2 linked regions of the Drosophila melanogaster genome follow. The protein of the gene in region 2 interacts with the protein of the main gene of each other region in a pairwise test. Each region holds a gene or a part of one and is shown on either strand. Other genes may lie near its edges.

Region 1 (3,857 bases), on a different chromosome or scaffold from region 2:
GAGTTATTTTTCGAGCCAAAATTCCTTGCTTTATTAACAGCTGCTGCTTCATTTTGGGCCATTCGCAGCGAACTGTTGTTGTTGTCCGCGTCTCTGGGTGACTGCCAAGCGGTGGCGCCAAAATTTGAAAATGGCGCCTTTTATTCAAGGGTCGTTATGGAATATACTCCAAGCATTTGCTTTTCGTGGCAAATAGGAATTACCAAATATATTTACCACTTCAAAAAAAGAATTAAAAATATATATTATACATAAGTTTTCTGTTTTTAAATGAAAACGATTAATTAAATAGTAAGGTATTTAACATTTCGAAATGAATGGCTGTCCAAATATTACACTCTTAAAGAAACTACTTCATAATAGGAAAAGCAAATGACAAAAATGTAATACAAAAAAGTTATAGCAAACGAAGGGCAATCCAGTGCCAAAACAGTGAGAATACGTTCAAACATTTATGTCTAATAGATATCCTGAGCCTCAGAATTATCCAAGTCGTGCTTTCATCTACATATCCCGCATCTTATAAGACGGAATTAAAAACGATCTCTAATTCTTTGGCGAATCAATGCTCTTCGGATTCCAGGATGGCGCTGGCTCTTTTCTGGTGAGCAACCGAATCGAAGTGACTCCTTAGCGTTGCCTTTCGGGCAAAGTTGATTTGGCAAATAACGCAGCTGAGAGGGAAATACACGACTTGTATTAAATATGCGCAAATTTCATATCATTTCACTTACTCAAAGGGCTTAAGACCTGAGTGCAGGAACTTGTGCTTATTCAAGCAGGTCTTGGTATTGAATCTCTTGGTGCACTGGTCGCATTGGTACCTCAGATCTCTGATGTGCCGTATTCTGTCATAGTGTTAGGAAATTGTTTATGTCAGCGCTTTTAAAGTTAAATACAATTGCAGTAAGGACTTACCGCTCATGGCTCGACTTAGCTGTACTTGTGAAAAACGTTGCCGAGCAGAAGTTGCACTCAAACGGCTGTTCGCCCATGTGGCGCACTCGTTCGTGTAGACGAGCCAGATACTTGGTGACGAACCGCTTGTCGCAGAACGTGCATGGAAAGTTCTTCTCACCCGTGTGGCGCACCATATGCGTCTTTAGGTTGTATGGAGTCTTAAAGACCCTTCCGCACTTAGGGCACACCAGGGATTGCATTTTCCGAGCTGTCCTTTTTGCAGGGGGTACATTCTCAGCTGCCACATCTTCTGGAGCTAATGCAAGGGGCTTTACTACCTTAATAGAGGGATACGTTGTAAGTAGTCTCAGATCGGTTCCAATTTGTATAAAGTTTCCCTTTTTTGGGCTTTTTGCATCGACTTTGTTAGGCAAGTTTTCATTTGCAAATGAAGGAGTCTCAATTAATGGATTTTTATGCTTAAATATTAAGGGGGTTTCCGAATCATAAGGATTATGTGGTTCGTTTCTCCTATCCTCATGGGCGAGATTTAAATCAATATCGGATTCCTCTGCTTTTTTGTCAAATGGATAGTTTTCTGAATCATATGATTCCTCCGATTCCAAGTCACTGGAATCCCCTTCTGGCTCTATATCGGATACAGTGCTTTCTAGATCCTCATCAAGCCCAGATTCCCGCCTCAGCGTTGCTTCATTGTGAACTCGTTGAATGCGCTTCTTTAACTTAATCGATGTGTTCAAGTCATTTAAACAAGATGGGCAAATATGACGCGGCTGGCGTTCATTCTGTTCTAACTGTAAATGGAGTAAATGGGTTATGCCATTCACGCACACAAGAAACCATCAACATACCCATATTCCAGTGAGATCCTTGATCTTGGCCAGAACTTCCAGGCAAAAAATTATCGTGGGATTCAGGTGACAGAAACACGAGGCGCACAAATGGCATTGCGAAGGCTTTTTCATTTCAAACATATGATCATTTATCCCGCTGAATTCCCAAAACAATCAGCTGTAGTTTAATTGATTTTATGTTGTCAATTATGGAATAAAAACGGTAAAAGAGCGTACGCAATCCGAGAATTTCTGTTTACTCTCTCTAAGCAGCAAAATTTGTATGAATTACCTGTTTCATGGCGTTACCAGATAGGTGTGGAAAAACTAACTGTTCTTATTTCCTAGAAACCAGGGAACATCGAGCTAGTTTTTATAATTTAAAATTTATATATTATAAACGGGAGGTTAAATTTTCCCAAAAAGAGAGGTTCAAGCTAAAACACACGTTCGGCTAATTCCTGACGTTTTTGAAATTGGTTCCATATAATTTTTATTAAAATAAGCGCGCTGTGCAATTAGAATAAAATATATTTTATAACAAATTGTAATCTAAGACCGACGTTGAATTCCTTCCACACTGGTGCTAATCGTACGGCTGGCTGGTGATTCAAAGGATTTCTCTGAACCACCGAAAAAGTCAGATAGTTTGCATCCCTGGCATTGTGGCGTGTGGAGTGTGGAGTGTGTGGCGCCAACAGTCGATTTTTTTTGTGTGCTTAAAGTTAGGTGTACAGCTCCTCTCCATCGGGAATGGCTTCCTCGTACTCGAAGTCCTCAAAATTTGCGTCCTCATCCTGAAGTACCTCGTGGTCCTCATATTGTTCCTCGTCAATGTTATCTAACATTACGTCCAGTTCAGCCTGGTTGTCCTCCATTTCTGCCTGCCCCTCTTCCATATATCCCGGAAACTCCGCCGGATCGACTTCAGACTGGAATTCCTCTTTTGGACCATTAACCAGCAAGTTGACCCGCTTGCGGTGATACTTTGTGGAGTAGTGCCGATGCAAAAACTGCGCCTCCTTGAACTCCTTGTTGCATGTGAGGCAGCTGTGAAAGAATATGAGTTTGTACATCTATGGCTACGTATATTTCAATGATTCTTACATATGGACATCCGGTTGGTCACTCTTGTGCCCCTCCTCGTGCTTCAGCCGTCCCTTCTCGCTGTTGAATCGTTTGCCGCATATTTTGCACGGGTGCACCAGCTCGTTGGCATGCATTTGACTGTCAAGGTTTTTATGGTTTATATAGATAAGGACTTGTGATGATTAGGCCAGCACTCACCGTTCATGACGACAGCGGCTGGGACTATTGGCGAATCCCATACCGCAGAACTTGCAGACGTACGGTTTCTCGCCCTTGTGATGGACTCGAATGTGCAATCGGAGCAGTGGCATGGTGTAGAACTTGCGACCGCACTCGTCGCATGAAAACTTCTCCTCGAAGTGCCGCAGCTTGTGATCCTTCATGTTGCTGTGATCGTTGAACGACCAACCGCACTGGTCGCACACGTATCGCTTTATCGAGCGATCGACCTTGGGTTTTGGTCGCCGCTTTCTGGGCTTTCGGACGTGCTCCCGCGGAGGTGGCGGTGGACTATCTGCCTTCTCGACCACAGGCACACGAAGCCGCTTGACCCTGACTCGTGGGGACTGTCTGTTCGGGAAATTTTGGTCCTCGATCCGGATTTTTTTGGCCGGAGGATATCTTAAAATCGGCTTTTCGTCCTCCAAGAAATCCTTATCATCATCCATTAAATCCTTATCATCGTCCAGTAGCTCCTTATCGTCCTCGGTGTCTACTGTATCATCCAGCACCTCCCGTTTCAGCAGCGGATCACTAAGCACTGGCGAAACCTCCGGGGAGCCTTTTGAGGCGACACCCGCCTTCGAGGAGATCCTCTGGTGGAGATTTGCGTGCGTCTCCAGGCATCGCTGCCTGAAGGCTACGGCTTGGGTCAGGTCCAGGAGACAACAAGCGCATATGTGCTGGGGCAGCATATTCTCTAAAACGATCTGGAAATGCATAGATTATGAATAATTCCGGACAACAAATAAAAGGGACGCCACCTCTAAGCCCGTGATTTGCTCGATGGCCATC
Region 2 (4,586 bases):
ACGGAAGGAGATCGAAGTGAACTGCGCCTTTGAAGTGGCCGAGCAGCAAATACTCCTATTGGGCTGTAACACGGGACTGTATGCGTATCACTTGGACTCGCAGCGATTGGTGCACATTTCTGGTCTCGAATCGGTGAGCTGCATGTCCATTTGCAAGCGCCTGGCTAAGGCTATAATGGTGGGCACAGTTGGCGAGAAGCTATATCAATGTGACTACCGCCAGCTGGAGTCACGCTGTCAGAGCTCCAGTTCGTGTCACAAGCCTGTGCTGGAAACGTCGGCCATTGAGCTGCCATTTGCCAATCGCACGCCATCGGAGAAATGGAAACTAGTGCTGATCTCCGATGAGGCGGAGAACGCATTGGATTCGGTGGCTATTGCGGCCACGTCCACTAGGATTGTCATCTTGAAGTACGACCTTAAGCTGCACATGTTTAAGCCAGTTCGAGCCTTGGACACGGCCACGCCGGTCACATCCATATTCTTTACGCGTCACTCGGCCATTGTTAGCTCGGATAAGTTCTACGAGATCGATTTGGACAACTATGCGGCTGAGGAGTTTGTGGATCTGTCCGATAAGTCAATGGAGAGCACTGCCAAGTGCCAGCCCCTAACTGCGGTGCGCATCTCACGACAAGAGTATCTGCTCTGCTTTGCCGAATATGGCGTCTTTGTGGACGAGTTTGGCTGCAGATCCAGGCCGTACGATTTGAACTGGGTCTATGCACCCACTGGATTTGTTTACCGCGATCCATTCCTATTCATATCGCACTATCAAAGCGTGCAGATAGTCCGTTTGCATCGGTCGTTCAGCAAGGAAATGGCCAGCGGGGATAACGCATCGGAGAATTCGGAATCCCCGGAACTGCAGCGCGTCTACTTGCCCCACTACATGTCCACGCTGCTGGCCAACAGCGGAGATGTCAATCTCTATGCCGTGGCCATCGATCAGAGGCCCTGCAATGGAACACAGAAGATCTACCATCTGGACACGATGCAGGCATTCAAGCAGAAGTTCAATATCTCCATGGAAACGCTGTCTTCAGTGGCCACTTCTGTGACTTTGGGCTCGACTGTCACCGGAAATAGCATATAGATGAAGGATATATATTAACTAAACGAATGGACAAAGCAAAATACTACAAACTGAGTAGTTGTAGTTATATCTAGGGTTAGGATATGCTATACATTTGGATTATTATTATTTTAACTTGTCAGAACATATGTTTTTTCACAATCTTTTTCATGTGTAACGATTGCCTAAAATCACATGGCAGAATCTTTTAAAAATTACTTAATTTACTCTTTAAATACTTTGTGCTGTATACACAAATAAAACTTGAGATTTTGATAAAAAAGGTAATTCATATTAAATTAATATATTTATTTTGATCACTAAAATATCGAAGCATATTAAAGGAAATATTTTTTAATTAATTAAAGAAGTCGCATAATATTTTAAATCAATTTTACTATGCAGGATAGCTTTTCGAATAGAATAGTTGGGGGCATGGAGTCGACGCCAAGCTTTTGGGGCTGATCCCACGCAGCTTTTCGGCAGCAGCTTTCAATGTCCCGCAATTCGAAAGCCCCGGAAATGGAATCGTGCTCTCCGCTGGCATTACTGCCATCGTTGGCTTGGCCGCTGGACGCCGGACTGCTGCACTGCCGCCGTCGCAGATTGTGTTAATTGATTTCAATTGGCTCCACGCCATTTGAGTGGCCCGTTGAATCTCCCGACGATGCCAGCAACGATGTTTGATTCCCAGCTGAGTTTGTGCGCGGGTCGCATTGTCGCCGATTCCACCACCACCACTACCTCCGGCATGGATGGATGCGATGGTGCCAAGACGATGATATGCCGCGCTTGTCTTGTGCTACTGGGTCCGCAGGATGCGTGTCACAATCTGGACAGCGAACAGGATCTGGCCAGCAAGTACTACGGCTGTACTGGAGAGGATGCCGTTAGGGATTTGCCACCCCAGTTGGTGCTGAAAAGCATCTGCGAGTGCTGCTATCAGTTGGTGCAAAAGTTCCACGACTTTCAACGCATGTGCGCAGAGTCCTTGCGCAATTTTGAGAAGCTGCTGCAGGACATCGACATCGGATGCCACAAACTGGAGGACCACACTTGGCACGACTTGGACACCCCCTCGGAGAGCAACGAGTCCACTAATCCGGAAGCCCAGTCGCACGCACCCTGCATCGCAGCGACGCAGGAGATTGTGAGTTTTATCTGGCCACAAGTGTGCCTGCCTCTGGCCGTAATCTTATCTAGAATCACATTGGGTGCTTCGCTCGAGGTGTGTTGCCTAGCAGCCAAGCAAAGACAATACTGCTCCCCATTCCCCGCCATAAACAAAAACATTTCGACAGCGTTTGTTTGTGTTGTACTATTTTTGTTTGGTGGGTGATAGCACTCGAAAAGGAGGCACGTCCCAATCTATTGGGTATTTTTAAATTTTCCACTAATAAAATTGGGAAGATGGCAACACGCCTCGATTTATGGCTCCTCCAAATAAGAAAGTCGATTTTAAAGGCCAGTTTTATCTAGAATAGATAAATGTGTTCCCTAACTTTCACTCATTTTAGATATTATTTATAGCGCCTTTAATATTTTTAGCATTAAAAAACTAAACTAAACAGATAAGTGACCGCCAAAAGTTCGGTTCACAAAATATTACTTTCATTTTATCATCTTCTAAGTCGAGCGATAAGATAATCTTAATAGCAAATTAAGGAAAAATTTCCACTTTAAAGTAATGAGTAAACATAATGTAATTCCTACCCTTACTACAAATTACTTAACTCAACCAAAAGCAGTTTGTTTTTATATGCTTAGACCCTTTTTACATAAAAAATTCCTTCATAATAGATATGTACAGAATTCCCACAAAAAAAAAAAAAAACCACCACCATTCAGTTTGCTATGGTAATTAAATATATAATACCCTAAATTTTCCAGGAGGAAGTCTACGTAATAGAGGACGAGTCAGCCAAACAGGATCTGGGCCAGGAGAAGCTATCCATTTCTAGCAAGTTGCTGGGTGCCAGAAAACGACGAGGAGTGCGACACACCCTCGAGTGCCGAATTTGCCACCGTGGCTTCTACAAACCGTCGCTGCTGGAGGCCCATATGCAGCAGCATGAGGGTCTGAGACCGTATACCTGCGTCCATTGTGCCAAGAGCTATGCCCGGGCCAATCTGCTGGAGTCGCACCTGCGGCAGATGCATAACAATGCCGACGCTGCGCGGATCATCTATGCCTGTCCGAGCTGCAACAAGGTGTACACAGCGAACCGAAGTCTCAAATATCACATGAGAAGGACGCACGAAAGGTATCACGAGTCAGAGTCCCCGGATGCGCGGCACATTTGTGAGGAGTGTGGCAAGTGCTTTGCGCGAAAGGCACATCTAACGCGCCACAAGATGGTCCATGGTAGCGTTGAGGGTCGGAGATACTGCTGCGAATGCTGCGATCGCAGATTCTACACCAAGGAGAACATGGTGGATCATCTGCTGCGCAAGCACGGCAATAAGAATCTGCTGCTCAGATGCAGAAAATGCGGACGCATTTTCCAGAACAGCGTGGAGCTCAACGCTCACGGGAGGAAACACAAAGCGATGGATGTAGTTCAATAATTCGTTTTATTTGTGGTTTCAATAACATCAAGCTAACACAACTGTTACAATGATTCGAATTACTTGGAATTTTGTTATGCCAGTATTGTGGGAGAATGCCGCATAATTGGAGATACTAAGACGACGCGAATGGTTGACGAATCGATGAGGCTGCCCTAAAATTAGCTAACATTCACATAATGGCCGGCGCAGCAGCATAGTCGCTTAAAAATCATCAGTACAAAAAAATGGCGATGGCGATGGCGCGCACTCGCAGTAGTTCTCAAAAAAGTAATCATGCGTATATAAAACAATTAACTAAAATTTATCCTTAAGCTTAAAGAACGGATGACAGTTTTAAAATTACATTACCAATACATTCATTTATCATTAATTTGTAGGGAGGAGGAAAGAAATGAGAATAAAAACCAGATTATCCGTCAATCGATCGACAATTACATAAGAAACGCACGGGGTCTTTTGCCAAATGAACTATCAGCATTGAACGTTGTTGAAATTGATCTGGTGATCCACTTAACTGATGGTACTGTGTTACGGTGGTGATTGATGATTGGTTTGTTGGTTGGCAGTAGGTCTTCGGATGAGTGGAGTTGCTTGCACTATATGTAAATAAATACGCCGCAATATGAGCATAGGATATATGACAACGAATTGCCAAACTCTAGGTGTCCTTGTGCTTCTCGTAGAAGGCGTCTAGATATTTTTTGTACTCCTTTTGGTCATTCCACATCATCGCGGCCTGCGCATTCAGTGGACTCTCGTTGTTCGGTTCGCCCAGCAGGGATTGTATGGACAGCAGAATGGTGCGCACATCGTACAGGGCCGACCATTTGTCCTTCAGTATGTCCAAACAGATGGCGCCCTGCAGATCAACATTGGGATGGAAGCAGGACGTCAGGAACTTCACCACGGGTGCTGCATACGGATAGGAATTGGGAAAATC

The links.
Region 1: the proteins of CG10654 (region 2) and CG17801 interact in a two-hybrid assay, tested with the Drosophila melanogaster proteins (2 studies listed by BioGRID).

The regions. Positions count from the first base shown.
Region 1 is NT_033777.3:17,805,175-17,809,031, forward strand, and holds CG17801 (uncharacterized protein), read right to left. Parts: upstream 1,912-3,857; 5' UTR 1,896-1,911; coding exon 1,773-1,895; intron 1,716-1,772; coding exon 919-1,715; intron 849-918; coding exon 735-848; intron 675-734; coding exon 563-674; 3' UTR 505-562; downstream 1-504. Other genes in the region: Odj (oddjob), read right to left, coding at 2,480-2,804, 2,862-2,981, 3,042-3,772, 3,827-3,857.
Region 2 is NT_037436.4:12,504,867-12,509,452, reverse strand, and holds CG10654 (uncharacterized protein), read left to right. Parts: upstream 1-1,612; 5' UTR 1,613-1,742; coding exon 1,743-2,303; intron 2,304-2,965; coding exon 2,966-3,643; 3' UTR 3,644-4,079; downstream 4,080-4,586. Other genes in the region: sti (sticky), read left to right, coding at 1-1,096; vih (vihar), read right to left, coding at 4,305-4,586.